3 linked regions of the Drosophila melanogaster genome follow. The protein of the gene in region 1 purifies or fractionates together with the protein of each later gene. This does not show direct contact. Each region holds a gene or a part of one and is shown in the gene's direction. Other genes may lie near its edges. The genes, in order: CG7239, hiro and pps.

Evidence for each region.
Region 2: the proteins of CG7239 (region 1) and hiro purify together in Drosophila melanogaster (affinity purification with mass spectrometry, with the first as the bait; one large-scale study listed by BioGRID). This does not show direct contact.
Region 3: the proteins of CG7239 (region 1) and pps purify together in Drosophila melanogaster (affinity purification with mass spectrometry, with the first as the bait; one large-scale study listed by BioGRID). This does not show direct contact.

The regions. Positions count from the first base shown.
Region 1 is NT_033779.5:5,800,344-5,804,563, forward strand, and holds CG7239 (uncharacterized protein), read left to right. Parts: upstream 1-1,876; 5' UTR 1,877-2,061; coding exon 2,062-2,369; intron 2,370-2,428; coding exon 2,429-3,500; 3' UTR 3,501-3,687; downstream 3,688-4,220. Other genes in the region: CG14005 (uncharacterized protein), read right to left, coding at 527-1,265, 1,329-1,543.
Region 2 is NT_037436.4:685,315-689,677, reverse strand, and holds hiro (highroad), read left to right. Parts: upstream 1-1,719; 5' UTR 1,720-1,809; coding exon 1,810-1,876; intron 1,877-2,305; coding exon 2,306-3,097; intron 3,098-3,150; coding exon 3,151-3,336; intron 3,337-3,391; coding exon 3,392-3,687; 3' UTR 3,688-3,736; downstream 3,737-4,363. Other genes in the region: CG32483 (uncharacterized protein), read left to right, coding at 1-504, 558-743, 798-1,093.
Region 3 is NT_033777.3:12,411,841-12,419,896, forward strand, and holds the start of pps (protein partner of snf), read left to right. Parts: upstream 1-1,987; 5' UTR 1,988-2,316; coding exon 2,317-2,446; intron 2,447-2,511; coding exon 2,512-2,916; intron 2,917-3,030; coding exon 3,031-4,748; intron 4,749-4,807; coding exon 4,808-5,289; intron 5,290-5,377; coding exon 5,378-5,552; intron 5,553-5,607; coding exon 5,608-6,135; intron 6,136-6,200; coding exon 6,201-8,056. Other genes in the region: Dip-C (dipeptidase C), read right to left, coding at 68-1,543.

The DNA.
Region 1 (4,220 bases):
CGCTAAGTTGATCGAAATGCAAAACTTAATAGGCTATTCACACTGATTTCATTTGAATTTATGTTTGATTTCGTTACTATTATATCAACAAGATATTCTGTAACAATAGAAATAATAGTATAGTCTATATAGTATAGTATATATATATAGTATAATAGTCTTTCATCTAATTTATTTTTTAGCCAGTTGTTTAGTTTTAGTTTTTTTTTTAAAAATGTAGCTACCATACAAGTTCGCCTCAAGACAATGTTTTTAATTTAAGACTAAAGACCGTATAGATTGATCTTTTGCACAGACGATTGTTCATACACATTACACTTATGACGCTAGAAAAAGAACGTTTGAGAAATTATAATATCTTCGGTTCGCTATGCTGCTGCTTTGTACGTCGAGTGAATTAGACATCTGTGTCTGAGAAAGGAACGAATTGAAAAACATACACAGGGTCGAGCGCCGCGACTCTATTCCCAACTTAAAGCTAAAGCTGTCATACAATGTCCTTACCACGTGGTGCTAGTAGTCGGGATCATGGTTCCAGCTTGATGGTCGTTTGCTTTATTAACGCCAGCACTGCCTCCTGCCGCTCCATATACGCCAGAAAGTTATGTTTCATGTCCAGGAACTGCTTCTCCTTGCGCACGAGCGACTGCAGACAGGCGTCGTTCTGCTGCTCGAGCAAACTGTTCTCCTTGCGCAGCGCCTCCACTATTGCCATTGTGATCTTGCCCGAGTGCGGCAGTATACTACGTCGCCCTCGTCTCCTTTTGCTCGCCGAACGTTCGGCGTCCGTCTGGCCACCGTTGGTGTGGCCTCCATATGGCGCATCCTCTGCCTCGGGCAGGATGTGGTTGGCAGGCGTGAGAGGCGACCGCTGAATGACACTTTCGGCAGTAGCTCTCTCCAGGTAGTGGCTAGCCGCGTTTTCCAGCTGCGTCACTGTGGGCTTGTATTCAATATTCACCAGCTGGTGGTGTTCGTCTGGCAGAGGCTCTGTCTTCACTACTGCGGGAACTAGGGGCTGGGCATCGAGGAAGGTGCATCCCTCTGAGTCGCGCTCAAATTTTAGCTGGGCGGGCGAAGTGTATAGCAGTGGCGGCAGGGCGGGCAAATCCACACGTGCTGTCGCACGGATCGTCTCCAGCACATTGCGGAAATGGAAGAGGGCGGACGACGGCCAGGCAGGACAGAAGAGGCAATCGATCAGCGCGTAGAGACGCCAATCCTTCGCGAAGTTCGCATTGCCCCCCACGCGATTGCGATCGTTCCTGCAGAGAAGTGGAAGGAGATATTAGCACTGTGAACTGACCCGAGCCGCTGCTGCGCCTCACAAATACTTGTTGCGGTAGCTGTTGATGCGCCGGCGAGCCTCCTGCTTATTGAGCCGAACTCCGTTCTGCTGCAGGCCGTGCGCGATTTCCCGGAAAATGGGCAGGTTGTCCGTGTAGGAGGGTATGGCATGCAGGTGCTCGCGCCACAGCCGCAGTAGCATGGCCTCCTCCAGCGACGTGTAGTAGCGCAATCGCAGGTGCTTCTGGCCGCTCATATTCCGGTCTAATTTCAATTTTGTGGAATCGTTATAATCCAAACATTTTCGTACGTGACCAAGGACCAGGCGTGGAAATACCAATAACGCTTGAGCGCGGCAGGCGCCAAAAAATACCATCAATGATTTAAATTTTCTTATAGAGCTATTGAAATCTGGAAAAGATATATCTAATATCTTAATAATTTTATTTCTTAATATTGGACTAGCCCCAAAGCCATTCTCCCAGCTGTAGTATATACATGATACTGATATGGTACTAAATGAAATTTATTATATTACTTATTTCAGGAAATTCGCTCAGGAATCTAGGCATTTTCGGCGTTCTCGCGCCGCAAGGTCACACTCTTCTGTGTATCAGAGCTGTTGTTGATTTTTTGTGCGGAAAAACTGCACTTGGCTTCAACCATTCTACCACAGCGTCGCATTGTGTAACTAGAGTGGAGATCGCATATCCAAAGGCAACGTTACAGGGATACATCTGCGGGAGCAGATCAGGAGCCGGTGCAGAGCAGTCGATGGACTACGAGAAGCTGGCGTTGAACGCGGGCGGAAGCGGCAGCGGTGCCGAGCAGGACTTAGGCATGTGCGGTGGTCAGGAGCTGCTCGATGGCAGGGGCAAGGAGAAGGCGCGTCGCTACTGGACGCCCAGCGAGGAGGAGCGCCTGTACGAGATCTGGGGACGCGACAACTGGCGCCTGACGCGCACCGGCAAGAACACCATCTTCTTTGGCCGGTGGGCCGAGGAACTGCGCGACCGGTTCGCCGTGGACGTGAAGCCCGAGGAGATCCAGATGAAGGTCAACCAGACCAGGGCCAAGTTCAGGTAGGTAACCGTTTAGACACTTTGCTATACCGGATTAACTGACTGGTTTCCCTTTTAAGGCAAGTCAAAAAACAGCTGCAGGCGGATCCTTCGAGCTATGCTACGCGCTGGAAGAAGTACGACATTATCAATCGCATCCTGAAGAACCTGCACAGGCCCAAGAACGCCGATCCGCTGCCGCCAGAGGCGCTGCTCAACAACCGCGACATGACACCGCCCCGGGATGATGCGTCCGCAGAGCAGTTGCAGCAGCAGCCACAGCAGCAATCCGTTCAGCAGCAGCAGCAGCAAGGCTTGGGACTGGCCAGTGAGCCAAGCACTGCCACCTATTACAATAGCAGCAGCAATAGCAATCACGGCAGCAGCCACAACAACAACACCAGCGGCGGAGTTAGCTTCAACACGGAGCTGTTTACGGACCAGTATGACGAGGTGGTCAAGCAGGAGTACGAGGACGATGAGTACCGCTCCATTCCCTTTCAGGAGCAGTTGCAACAGTATTCCCCAGCCGAGCCGGCTCAGCTGCTCGAGCTGCAGACGCCACAGCAGCAGCAACAACTGCAGCAGCAGCAGCAACAACAGCAGCAGTTCCAAACAAACTATGAGTCGCAATTTCAGCAGCAGCCGGCTCAATTCAATAACAACAGCGTTATTAGCACTGCGGCCACATCGACCGTCAACCATCAGCCCATAACGGCGGTAGCCTATATCAATAGCAGCAATAACACCATCAGCGTGGCCACAAACGCAAACGGAGGCATGCCAGCGCCGGTGCCCGCACAGGTATCGGCATCGGTTCCGGCTGCAGCTCCAGTTTCGACCACCAACAACGCCGTCGTTGGCGCCTCCCCCGTCCCTGTGCCACGGAAGCGCGGTCGTCCATTCGGATCTGTGAATCCCCCACACGCAGACTCGCTGGAGGCGCTCTACATGGAGGAAGTTCGGCGAAAGAACCAGCTGCTCTACGAACAAACCAAGATATGTCGGCAGCGACTGGAGCTGGAGGAACGCAAGGTCGACCTCATGCAGACCTTCTTCCCCAAGTGTCTTGAGCAGCAGGCGCAGATTCTGAGCCACGTCCTTCAGCTGCAGAAGCAGCATCAGCATCCTACGGCCCAGCGGCCGCAGTGAACTCCTTTTCCGACTTTTCATAACCTCAATTTTGGACCGCAGTGCACGAACACTGGTTTTCAGATACTGGATTGCTGCAACATGCCGCTTCGCAGGCTGATCGGTGCCACGAAACTTAACAAAAAACATGCAAAACTGTTTGTAAGATTAAAAAGTAAACTTAAATAATAAATATATTTAAATAACGAAAATCGCTGGATTATTGCTTTTTTTTTATCGATTTTCGAGTTTTGAAACCGAAGGGTTATATTTTCACAATCGATTTCTGCAAAGTTATATAATAATATTATTTGGAGCAAAGAATTTTATAATTATTTAATAGAAAAATAACTTAAAATCGAGGCACTGAGCACCAAATGTAAAATAACATTTTAAGATTAAACAGCGCTGAAAAGTATGCAACATTTTTATTAAAGGAGACTAGCATACACCCTTGTCAAAGACACTAGAATAGAATATTCTAGGGTCTTTGCCCTTGTGGATGGATTGTTTATGTCAATGTTTATAAAATCGGCAGGATCTTTAAAAGTGCATACAATTACAAAAAACAAACGATCTTCATCAAATAAAAATTGAAATAGGAATGCTAGATACTTATCCCATCTCAATCTTCTTCTTGAAGTTGAAAGAATATAGTTAGAAATCGAAAGTAAAAATCTTTGTTATCTTTACTTTTAAAGCCGTGAAGGTAGACGCCCTCCTAATGGCAAAATATTCTAC
Region 2 (4,363 bases), on another chromosome or scaffold:
GCTACGTGGACAACACGGCCTTTTACACGGCCACCAATAAGGAGATCGCTCTAGATTTGGTTGAGCTGATGAAGGGATTCTATACCCTGCATCCAGAGTTCGAGGAGGTGCCGCTGCATATATTCTGCGAGAGTTACGGTGGAAAGATGGCGCCGGAGTTTGCACTCGAACTGTACTACGCCAAGAAGCGTGGTGAGGTCAAGAGCAACCTTACCTCGGTGGCTTTGGGGGATCCATGGACCTCGCCCATCGACTCCGTGCTCGCATGGGGACCTTTTCTCAGAGAAATGGGAATCGTGGACCACGCGGGATACAATGCCATTCAAGAGGCAGCGAACTTCACGGCTCAGTTGGTGGAGGAGGAGCGATGGATTCAGGCCACCTATCAGTGGGGCAACACCCAGTGGGAGGTGATGAAAGCCTCCAAGGGTGTGGACTTCTACAACGTGCTGAAGGAGACAAAGGGTGGTCTCTACCAGAGATCAAAGGCCTTGACCTCCGAAGGTGAACCAAATACTTCGATACGATATTTTTCAAACCATGATATTTCCCTGCAGAACGTCTGTATCGCACCATGGTGAAATACGATATTGATGAGGATCGAACCAAGTTACTGGAGGATCTGATGCGGGGCCCGGTGGCGGAAACCCTGGGTATACCTTCGAATGTCATCTGGGGATCGCAGAGTGGGACCACTTTTGACATCCACAGAACGGACTTCATGAAGCCAGTCATCCACATTGGTAGGGATATTACTTCTTATATAACGAAAGCGTCTGACATCCATTGAATGACAGTGAACGAATTGCTGGAGAAGACTCCTCTGAAGGTCGGCGTATTCTCCGGTGGCCTGGATTTGATTTGCGCCACACCGGGCACCGTCAACTGGATAGCCAAGCTGGACTGGAGCCGAAAGGACGAGTACCTGGCTGCTCCACGCAATGGCATCACGGTGGATCGCATCTTGGAGGGCTATCAAAAGACGGGCGGTAACTTTACCATGTTCTGGATCAACCGAAGTGGTCACATGGCTCCGGCGGACAACCCTGCGGCTATGAGTCATGTACTTCGAGAGTTTACCTCATTTGGCTAAATTCATTTAAATTGAATTATAATAAACTCAGTATGCAAGCCAGTTGTATACTATATTCGTCTAAAAATAGAGGAGTGTTTTACTGAAAGTATATAATGTAAATCGTAATGGATTTTTTGCTTATAGAAGCTGGGGAAGTTATCCTATTAGTTATTTTGATAAATGTCAAATGTATGTCTTAATCTGCTCTTTAAAAAGCAATGCCCAGAATTGATGCATATATGATTATATGAACACCTAAAAATAATATAGTCAATCAATCAAAGAATGCTGATGATTTAAAAAGAGTTTTTGGGAGACACCTTAGATATCTTTCACGCATGTCACGTGGGATAAACCGCAAGTGATACCGAAAAATAATAGGAAAAGCCCTCGGAAAACCCACTCAAGATAGCAAAGTGCAATCTTTGCGATGATTTTGGAGCTTCATAGGCTCTATCTAAATATATGACACAAAGATTCGGCAAATCGGACGAGTGACAAGCACAGATTGACCAAAAAGCCGCGTCACCGTCCAGCGAAGGGCCATAAATACTCTGCAAACACAGTTCCCCTGCCCGCAGATTACGAATTCCAGGTGTGTCAGGTGCTGGCTGTTGCTATTTTACCTTCGATGTCTGGGAGCAACCAGCGATCAATTGGCAGTGGAACTGCCAAGTGTGCGGTTGTCTCTCGATCGGTGTCTCTTGGAATTGGAACTGAAACACTGGTGCAACATGGCTGGACGCGCTATCATCGCACTTTTGGCCCTACTGGGATTTGCCGGCTTGGCTTCCGTTGACGGTGAGAATCGTGATTTGTATTCCAATTAGGGGTGCTAATCAGTGAGAAAGTGTTCCAAAACAAACGGTTCTTTACGACTTGTAGAACAGGCCAACAGAATTATCTGTTACAGACTTTTTTACCTACTTTTATATCCGTAGATTGAAATACTTATGAATCGTTTGGGGACAGACCTTATTACCATTGTAAAAGATACAGTGACCAACCGCTATTCGGTTTGTTATAAGACAATACAATCAACTATCTACACTATCTATAACAATTAATCTTATCTAAATGGCTACTCGTGCAGCCGTTTAATATACTTAAAGGCTAGATTTCTCAAGTGTTCCCTAGAAATCAGGGGCTATCATGAAATTACAAAATCAAAGAGCTTTGTATATTAATAACTATTTAATCGAAATGAGCTATAATTCAATATACTCTCAGCACGCAAGGGCTATGGACCCGGTGATCAGGATTGGGGATTTGTGGATGTCAGGACTGGCGCCCACATGTTCTACTGGCTGTACTACACCACCGCCAATGTCTCCAGTTACACGGAGCGTCCGCTGGCCATTTGGCTCCAAGGAGGTCCAGGTGCCTCCTCAACGGGATACGGAAACTTTGAGGAGTTGGGTCCCCTGAAGCTCGACGGCAGCTACCGCGACTGGACTTGGGTGAAGGACATGAACGTGATGTTCATCGACAATCCCGTGGGCAGTGGTTTCAGCTACGTGGACGGATCTTCTTACTACACGACCAACAACAAGCAGATCGCCCTGGATCTCGTTGAGCTGATGAAGGGCTTCTACACAAACCACCCGGAATTCAAGACTGTGCCGCTGCACATCTTCTGCGAGAGTTATGGCGGAAAGATGGCCCCGGAGTTCGCTTTGGAGTTGGATTACGCCATCAAGCGCGGTGAGATCGAGAGCAACTTTGTTTCGGTGGCCTTGGGAGATCCCTGGACCTCACCCATAGACTCTGTGCTCTCGTGGGCTCCCTTCCTGCTGCAGTTGGGAATCGTGGATCAGGATGGCCATGACAAGATTGAAGCTTCGGCCCTGAAGACTAAGGACTATGTTGACCGCGAGAAGTGGACACAGGCCACTTTGCAGTGGAGCTCCACCCAGTCAGTGGTGCTGCGCGAGTCCAAGGGAGTGGACTTCTATAACGTGGAGACCCCAACATTGGGTGATCAGTACAGGTTGATGTCCAGAGCTGCCATGACTCCGGAGGGTAAGATCCGTTGCGTAACTTACCGAGCTGATTCTCATCAACCACTTATCCAGAGGTCATGTATCGCACCCTCGTGAAATTCGATGTGGATGAGGACCGCGACAAATTGCTGGAGGATCTAATGCTTGGACCCGTGACCGAGGCCCTCGGAATCAACACCGGAGTGAAATGGGGCGCCCAGAGCGGCACCACCTTCACCAAGCTGATGGGCGATTTCATGAAGCCAGCTGTGGATGTTGGTATGTTTCAACCGTCTGGGTGCTACCTCAAATTATAGCCTTATGACACTTTTAGTGGGTGAACTGCTGAACAACACCACCGTAAAAGTGGGCGTGTTCTCCGGAGGACTGGACCTGATTTGCGCCACTCCGGGAGCCGTCAACTGGATCGAAGCAATGGAATGGTCCGCCAAGCCATCTTACCAGGTCTCTCCGCGCGTGGGAATCACCGTAGATCGAGTTCTCGAGGGTTACGAGAAGACCTATGGCAACTTCAGCATGTTTTGGGTCAACCGGGCTGGTCACATGGTTCCTGCCGATAATCCCGCGGCCATGTCGCACATCCTGCGACACTTCACCAAATTCGGTTAAACAAATTAGCCGGAGAAAAGCGTTAAAATAAAGATTATTTTCGAAATGTATGGACTCGTGGGTTTCCAATTGGTGGTGGTTCGATTAATTTAAATTAAATATTGATTACAATTCGCAAAGACTTTATAGTTATATTTTACAGTGCAGTTAGTTGCAGATCTTGTGAAATCAATTCATTCTTAAACTGAAAACAAAATACATACATACATATGTATGTTCTCATTAATCTTACTCTACTTAAAAAGCGATCGCCTGCAGAGTTGCCACATGGCGAAAGTAACAGTAAAGTTGTCGCATGCGCAGTTGCACCCTCTCAGCTGGTCACACGCACACACACTCTCGCACACGCCGACTTCCCTTCCGTTCTAGTTGCCCACGTTGCGCATGCGAGAGCGAGAGAGGGAGCGAGCAGAGAATGAAAACTGCGCGAGATAACGCGGCAGCTATTTTTGTATGGGTCGTCGTCTAGTTCGCACGGACATCGGAAAATACGCAAGGTGCAGCGCACGGCCAGTTGGAAAATCACAATCAGAAGACAAATCGAGTGCCTAGGAAGAGAAAACGAAAGCGAATAGAGCCAAAGCGCATTGAAAGGCCAAAGAAAAGCGAGAAAAGCAGTGACGAAATGATTTGAATTCGCTTGACAGTCAACGCGCATAATCGTAGCCATCGCACA
Region 3 (8,056 bases), on another chromosome or scaffold:
TTCCATAATTTGATTATGATACAGATTATATTACATATGTTTACGCGTGGAATATAGTTTAAAAGCTCTAAACCGGCGAATCATATTTACAGGTCATGGTTGCCTCGATGTCCTCCACCGTTCGCGGCACAATCGCAAAGTTCTCCACGCCAGTCTTCGTGATGAGCACATCGTCCTCGATGCGCACACCTCCGAAATTCCGGAAGCGATTGAACATCTCTGCGTTAATGAATTTAGCAATGTTCGGATCGGCCAGAGCGCGGTCCATCAGCCAGTTGATGAAGTAGCAGCCGGGTTCGATTGTGACATACATGCCGGCCTTAAGGATGCGGGCAAAGCGCAGCTTGCTCAGCCACGGTTCACTGGGGCGCTTGGGCTCCTTGGGCAGATAGCCGCCCACGTCGTGCACATCCAGACCGATCAAGTGGCCCAGGCCATGTGGCTGGAACACGCCCGAAACACCTGCCTCGAGCATCTCCTCCACATCGCCCTTGAGCATGCCGCCCTCCTTCAGGCGCTGCAGCAACACCCTGCCCGCCAGCTTGTGCATGTCCACCCAGGAGACTCCGTCACGGGCTGACTCTGTGACCGCATTGCGGGCATCCAGCACGGCATTGTAGATGAACTTCTGGTCGTCGGTGAACTTTCCATTGGCCGGGAATGTGCAGGTTATGTCGGCCGCATAGCCACAATAGTTGGCTCCCATATCGAACAGGCAGAGATCACCATCCTGGACGGGCTTGCTGTTGGGTGCGCCCGCGTGTCCATAGTGCAAGATCGACGAGTTCGTTCCGCTGCCGCATATGCAGGTGTAGGAGGCATGCCGGCAGCCGCCCACGGAGTAGGCGTGGTGCAGGAACAGGGATTCGCCCTCAAATTCCATTCTACCGGGACGCATAAACCGCATCACCTTGATGTGCGCGTCCGAGGATACCTTGGCCACGTAGCGCAGCACCTCGATCTCTTCGGGTGACTTGATCACTCGGCACTCAGAGAGAATTGGATACAGCAGATTGCAGTCAGTCACATACTTCTCCTTGCCAGCAAAGTCGGGCGGCTGAAGGGTGAGCCCGCTATCGCTGTTGGTGCCACTCAATGTGAGTATCAGCTTGGGCGACGCCCCCTCCAGATAAACACTCATTTCGTCAACATAAAACACCTCGTCCACCTCGTACATGGCCTTGAACTCCTGCAGCCCAAGCAGTTCGCCCATCCAGGTGCCGTACTCATCGGGAAAGCGAGGAACAAAGAGAACACTTTTCTGTGCACCAGTTTTCACATCAATGGTTAGGATGCCGTAGCAGCCCGGCTCCTTGACACCGAACAAGTACTGGAAATAGGACTCCTGCCGGAAAACGTAGTCCACGTCGGTGTTGTACAGGCTCTGGTCCTTGCCGCCCTCGAGGAGCACCAGCAGGTTGCCGTCGTTGAACTTGAGGCCCGGCAGCAGCTCCTTAAGGATGGCCTTGCCAGCACGATCCCTGTTGTTCCGGAAGAGGGTCATGGGCACTGCGTAACCCGATCCCATCTGAAAGGCGGCCATGGTGTTGCGACGGAGGACAAAGTTTAACTGGCGCTCTGGACAACAATGAGTGCTCGAGCAAGTGAGATTAGCTGATAATAGCCAATAACCGGGCTAACAAAGGCAGTAAATTATGTGGGTTTTATCAGTGTTTTTTGTTTTCTGTTTTCGCAAAAGTATGACCGAGAACTGAACGCGAAAAAAAACAAGCTTAAATTACAATTCATCGATCGGGAATTTTATTTTTTTAAATATATTCTTTAATATTTTTAATTAGCTCAATTCATTTATTTATCATACGGTTTTCCTTTTTGGCAGCCGACCTTGAAAATAAAGGATTTCCCTAAATAAACACAGATTAACATTTTGTTCAAATGAGCTAGCAATTGAAACTAGTTCCGCAGAGCGAGGCACAGAAACTATCGATAACCTACAGCATCGGCATCATTCCCAAGTCTGGTCACACTGGAAGTGGCTTTTTTTGCAAATTTTATTTTCATAATTGAGAAAAATTTGCATTTTAAAGCGAAACAGCAACGGATTAAGCTCTCGAATCTCAACAATATAACAGCCAGCTTGTGGGCGCAGCCAGCAGAGCATCACCAGTATTAAGTATAGGGCGAACGCAGCCCAGTGACCGTTTTCCACCTACTATCCAATTTCAATGTCGGCGTCACAACGCGGCGGATGCAACAACAAATGAGTCGTTGTTCTGTTCCAAGCTAATTAAGTACACGCTGTGTGGGCCGCCGACTCCAATGCGCCGCTAGCGGGGATCACGAGCAGTTGGCGTCATGTCCAGTTCGGTGTTTACGGAGGCGCCCAGCGCCCGGCCGGCGGCAGCCGAAGCCGACTCCAATCTGGTTGTGGTCTACAGCAAGAGCGGAATCTCCTTCGACGAGCGTGCGATTGGGAACATCATGGGTAAGTGGGTCCAATAGGCCTGACACACGCTCATTGCTCCCCACACTGACATGGGCTTGTTGCAGAGGAAAAATCGATTTCCACCATTAGCGTGGTGCGGATTACATCGCCCACGCCGAGCATGGTGGACCAAGAGGAAGACGAACGGCTGGAGGAGCTGGCGAACTTTATGGAAACTGCCACCGACTCGGAGCTGGACAGTGACAATGGCAGCCAAAGTGGTGGCGATAATGCCAGTGAGATGGATGAACACGACGAGGAGAACCATAACACCGGTGACGACAACAATAGCGACTCCACGGAGACGGAAGCCGATGCCCCGCGCACACGCAAGCGAGTTGGCCGAAAGCCCAAGGCCATCAAAAAGCGAAAGCGACGCAAACCCAAGGAGCGTCCACAAATTGTGGGTTTGCGAGTGGAGCAGTTTTATGCGGACAACACGGCTGATATGGTTGTGAAAAATGCACTGAGTAAATAACGTACATCGATGTGGTCCAAATGATAAAGCAAAACAACATCATTATTTCGAGCACAACGAAAGTAAACGAACTTTAGCTTTCAACTAATTTGTATTCTATTTACAGAGCTTGCCGGAGTTTCCGTCTACAAAAGGACTGCGGAGACAGACGCTCTTATGGAAGTTATTCGAAATGACCACAACTACACACCGTTTACCTCGCCAGAGCAGCTGAAGAACCACAAGCGCGATGAGAAGATGGCCATGGAAATGCAGGCCCAAAGCCGCAAAATCATAATGCAGGCACCGGGCAGTGTCAAGCTAATCAATGCCAAAAAACGAGTCCAGGCCATACCCTTAAGCCCGGTGCAGGTCAAGGTCCAGAGACTGCCAGTCAAGCCCCACCAAGTTCAGCAGGCAGCGCAGCTGCAACCGAAAGTGCAGCTGATCCGCAAGCCCATCCATTCGCCACTGCCAAGACAGAAGCCAGAGATTATCGCGAACAATTCGGTCAATGCCAGGCTGAGGCCCACTCGTGCTCCAGTCAAAGTGATTGCTCCGCCTGTGCAGGAATACATCGAAGATGATGATGACGCCCAAAGCTCGGATTCCGCCGAAGAGGAAAATGCCGACAAGGCCTATGATTCGGAGGAAATGAGTGAGGAGAGCGATGAGTTCCAGGAATCGGACAACGACAGGGACAGTGACATGGACTTCGATATGAGGCATAGCAATAGACGTAATCCGAATAAGAGGAAGCGGGTTAGAAAGGTGGTTAGGCAGACTCCCAGCAAACCAATGAAGCCGCTGCCTCCGCCACCCACAACGCCGCAGCACTTCCCCGAGCTGAAGAAACGCAAGGAAGTTTTGGAGCCGAAGGCGCCGCAAATTGGGCAAATAATCCAGATGCCTGCCACAAAATCAGTGCCCGCAGTGTTTGCCCTAGGCAGAGGTCTTCCAAGCACATCGTTTCTCAAAATCCGGCCCACACATCAATCGCTGCCTGTGAAGAGACCTCCACTGCCAACGACACCGGCCAATTCCAATGTTCGTCGTATGCCTGCCGTGCAATTGGGAAGGATCGTAAACTCGCCGCAGGAAGTTAAAGAGATTATTATCAACAAGAATATGGCCAGTCCCAAAGGAGTGTTTACCAATCTCAACACTTTGCTGGGTGAGGACAACAATGCAGCCACAAAATCTTCGCCAGTTCCACTCCGACACCGGGCCGTCATGTCGCCAAGCACGCCGAGATCGAGCTACAATCAGCAGATGTCGCCAATTGTGGTTCCGGTTCCTGCTCAGGCACATACCCCATCCAAGGGCTTCATGCCCATCGGCGTGGACACAGCTCAGTCGCATAAACTGCCCGCCCAAATAGTAATCGAGACGCACCAGAGTTCCTCCGAGCTGGCAGCAGAAAATGACAAGCAGCTCGATCTGATCAACTCGATTGTGCAGGACGAGCTACTTAAGTCCACGCTTGTGGAGCAGCCGGTAGTAAATGCGGACGAGGATATACCGAAACTGGTTAAGATGCTGGAGAGTACAGCGGCGGATCTAGATCCGCCACCAGTGTCCTTGCCTACGAATATTTTTCCAGCTCCCGAGATGCAGGGAGTGGGAAATGCAGCTGCAGCCGATCCGAATAATATAATGGATACGGCGAATGAGGATGAGATTACAGCTGATTTTCTCCAGCACGTGGTCGGTCTCATCGAGGAGGACAAACAGTTTGAGGCCGAGGTGGTTAAGCAAGTATTGGCTAGTACAGAGCCCGGAACCCTGGACGCCATCGTATCTATGCCTACGTCCATTGAGCCCGTAGACGTGCCGCAAGTACAGGCAAGTGTAGAATATCCTGGTTATTGATTTTGCTAGCTAACTGCATTGCTCCTTTACAGGCACACACGAACCTACTGCCGAATGCAAGTCTTACGGAGCCCGCACAATCGATGACCTCATTGCCGATTGCCTGCAGTACACCCTCGAGGAGCGTGGCAGCAAGCACTCCGCCCACCTCCGCGAAGGTTGTGCGCGGCTACGGTCGGGTCATATACCTGCCTCCCATTGAAGCCCCCACCACGCGGGCCAAGCGACGAGCACAGTTTCCTTCAGCTCCGGGCATGGCTGCGACCAGTTCCAGTGATGCAGGCAACCTGTCGTTTGGTGAATCTTCGTTGGATGCGAGCATCAATCAGCCGCTCAATACCAGCAGCCTGAGCAATGACAGCCAGCCGGGAAGTGGGCCGAAACGACCCAATCCTAGAGAGCCATCGATGGCCAGACGTTCAACGGCACCCAGAAGATCAAAGAAGCTTGATGCAAGTCAGAACAATGATCCCGACGCTTCAGAGTCTCAGGAGGATGACGATGACCCCAACAAGTAAGATTATAGTTGGATATTTCATAGATGCAAATCTGTGCGTTTGTTGAAAACCTTTTTTGTTTTTTTTTTTTTTTTTTTGGTTTAGGCTCTGGTGCATTTGTCGTCAGCCACACAACAATCGTTTCATGATCTGCTGCGATTTGTGCGAGGATTGGTTCCACGGCACATGCGTGGGGGTGACCAAGGCGATGGGCACAGATATGGAAAACAAGGGCATCGACTGGAAGTGCCCCAAATGCGTTAAAAGGCAGGAGGAGAGGGTAAAGTCATACAATAGACATAAAGTTACCTTTTATTGATTCGTTATCTTTGTAGAGCCAACCACGAATAACAGACATGTTGGTCACCAGACCAACCACTCAACCTGAGCAGAGGCCGAGTGAAACCAAAGTACTAACTACGACAGCAGAAATTGTTCAGGTCGCGGCTCCTTCGGCTCCCAGAAGAACACTACCGGTGGTCTTAACTGTAGCCAGTTCCCCCATGCGTATTCCAATGGCAAAGCCGGCCAAAAAGTTCCCAACCGGTGCAATCTCTCACCAGCAGCAGCAGCAGCTGAACTTTATCAGACTGGGCCCATCACCTGGCAAACGAATTTCGGAGACGTTATGTGTGGTCTGCAAGCGACCGGCGAGCACCTCTTCCGTCTATTGTGGCGAAGAGTGCATCCGGAAGTATGCCCAAAGTGCAATTCAAGCACATGCTGCTACCAAAGGCCCATTGCCACAGAATGCCGGTGCTCAGTCTTTGCTGAACAACTCCTTCGATGCCAAAAAGAACAAGAAGAAGGACTTGTTTGAGGACGTGCTGAGGCAAGCGGACACTGTGTCAAAAGTGGAACGGGTATGCAATAAAGGTTAATTTAATTAGAACTATACAACAAATAATGTGCACACTTTGCTTTGCAGATTAATGTGTTTGAGCGTAAAAGTGGTCGGGTTATCACCGGGCACATGGCCCCTTCTGCACATCAGTTTCGGAAATGGCTTCAGGAGAATCCCTCCTTCGAGGTGCTGCCCTCAGGAACCGTTCAGTCAGCCGACGCAGAGAAGCGTTTGCTGAAAGGGGCACCGGAAGCCGCCACCTCAACTTCAGAACCCGCCGTGCTAGGAGTTGCAAAAAAGCCACCTGAAGGTCCTGCCAAATTGTCCCATCCCCAAAACACCACAGTTCAGGCAAGCCACCAACTTGGAATCTCTTCCGTGCGTCCTTTGGCCAAAAAGGATAAAGAGAAGACAACACCTACAGTACAGGCGCCAACCCCTAATCGTATCGCAGCGGGCAAACCCGAGCCGGTTCGAATCGGCATCCGGCGATCACTCAGGGAGCAACTACTAGCGCGAATCAAAGAAGCTCAGGCTGCCGAGGAGAACTCTGGCCAGCCAACGACTCAGTGGCCGACCGTACTTGAGGTGGATCAGTTTGTCAAGAACGTGGAGCTGGAAATGTTCAACTCGTTTGGCCGAGACGTGGGAGCCAAGTACAAGGCCAAGTATCGATCGCTTATGTTCAACATAAAGGATCGCAAGAACCGAACGCTTTTCGAAAAGATTTGTGCCAAGCAAGTGGAGCCCAGGCAGTTGGTGCGGATGACGCCGGAACAGCTGGCCAGCCAAGAGTTGGCCAAGTGGCGGGAGGAGGAAAACCGTCACCAGTTGGATATGATCAAGAAATCGGAGCTGGACTTGTTGGCATGTGCCCAAAACTATGTGGTGAAAACACACAAGGGAGAGGAGGTAATCGCCACCAAAGTGGATGTTACGCTGCCCGAAGAGAACGTTAGTGAAGCATCATCTATGGCGGACACAAAACAGACGTCGCTGGTCAGTGAGCCGTCTACCTCCACACTGGAACGTTCCACGTCCAGGGAAAAGGCGGGTTCATCGAAGGAAAAGCGACACAAGAGCCACAAGCATCATCATCGAAAGCGCAGTCGAAGTCGTTCCAATAGTCGGGGTCGAAGCGTCGATAAGCGCCATCGCAGGCAGCACAACGAAGGAGGAGAGCAGCCAGGCAGCGGGGAGCGTGAGCATAGATCGCGTGAGAAACAGAGCCGGGAAAGGGATGAGATCGTTCCATCACCCTTGCCCAAGAAGAGGGACGAAAACGACCAATCGCCGGTACCCAAAAAGACGGCGGAAAAGAAAACCGAGGCGAGTGCTTACAACTTGGTTGATCAAATTCTGGAATCGGAGAAAACAGTCGAGCAGGCGGCGAATCTAGGCAAACCAAAGCCGTCACCCAAGCCACTTCCAACGCTTCCGAGTTCTTTGAAGGCACCTGAGCCAATGGACAACTACTCCCGCTACTTGCACGGCCTGACGACGAGTTCACTGTGGTCCGGTACTCTCAAGATGATCGATTTGGCCGACTTCGAAATCGTCATGTACCCCGTGCAGGGTAACTGCCATCAATTGGGTAACCTGATGCCAAGTCAGATGGACGTAATCGGTCGCATAACCCGCGTTAATGTCTGGGAATATATCAAGAAGCTAAAGAAGAGTCCCACAAAGGAAGTGGTCATTGTGAACATATTCCCCGCCTCGCCCAGCGAAACGTATAAGTTTGATCTCTTCTTCGAATACCTGGACTCGCGTCAGCGTCTGGGCGTCCTGGGCGTGGACTCGGATCAGATACGCGACTTTTACATATTCCCCTTGGGTAGCGGCGATAAGTTGCCACCAGCGCTGCAGACCGCGGAGCCAGTTCCCTTCTACGAAGAAGCGCAAAGACCCAACACGCTGCTCGGCATCATTGTGCGGTG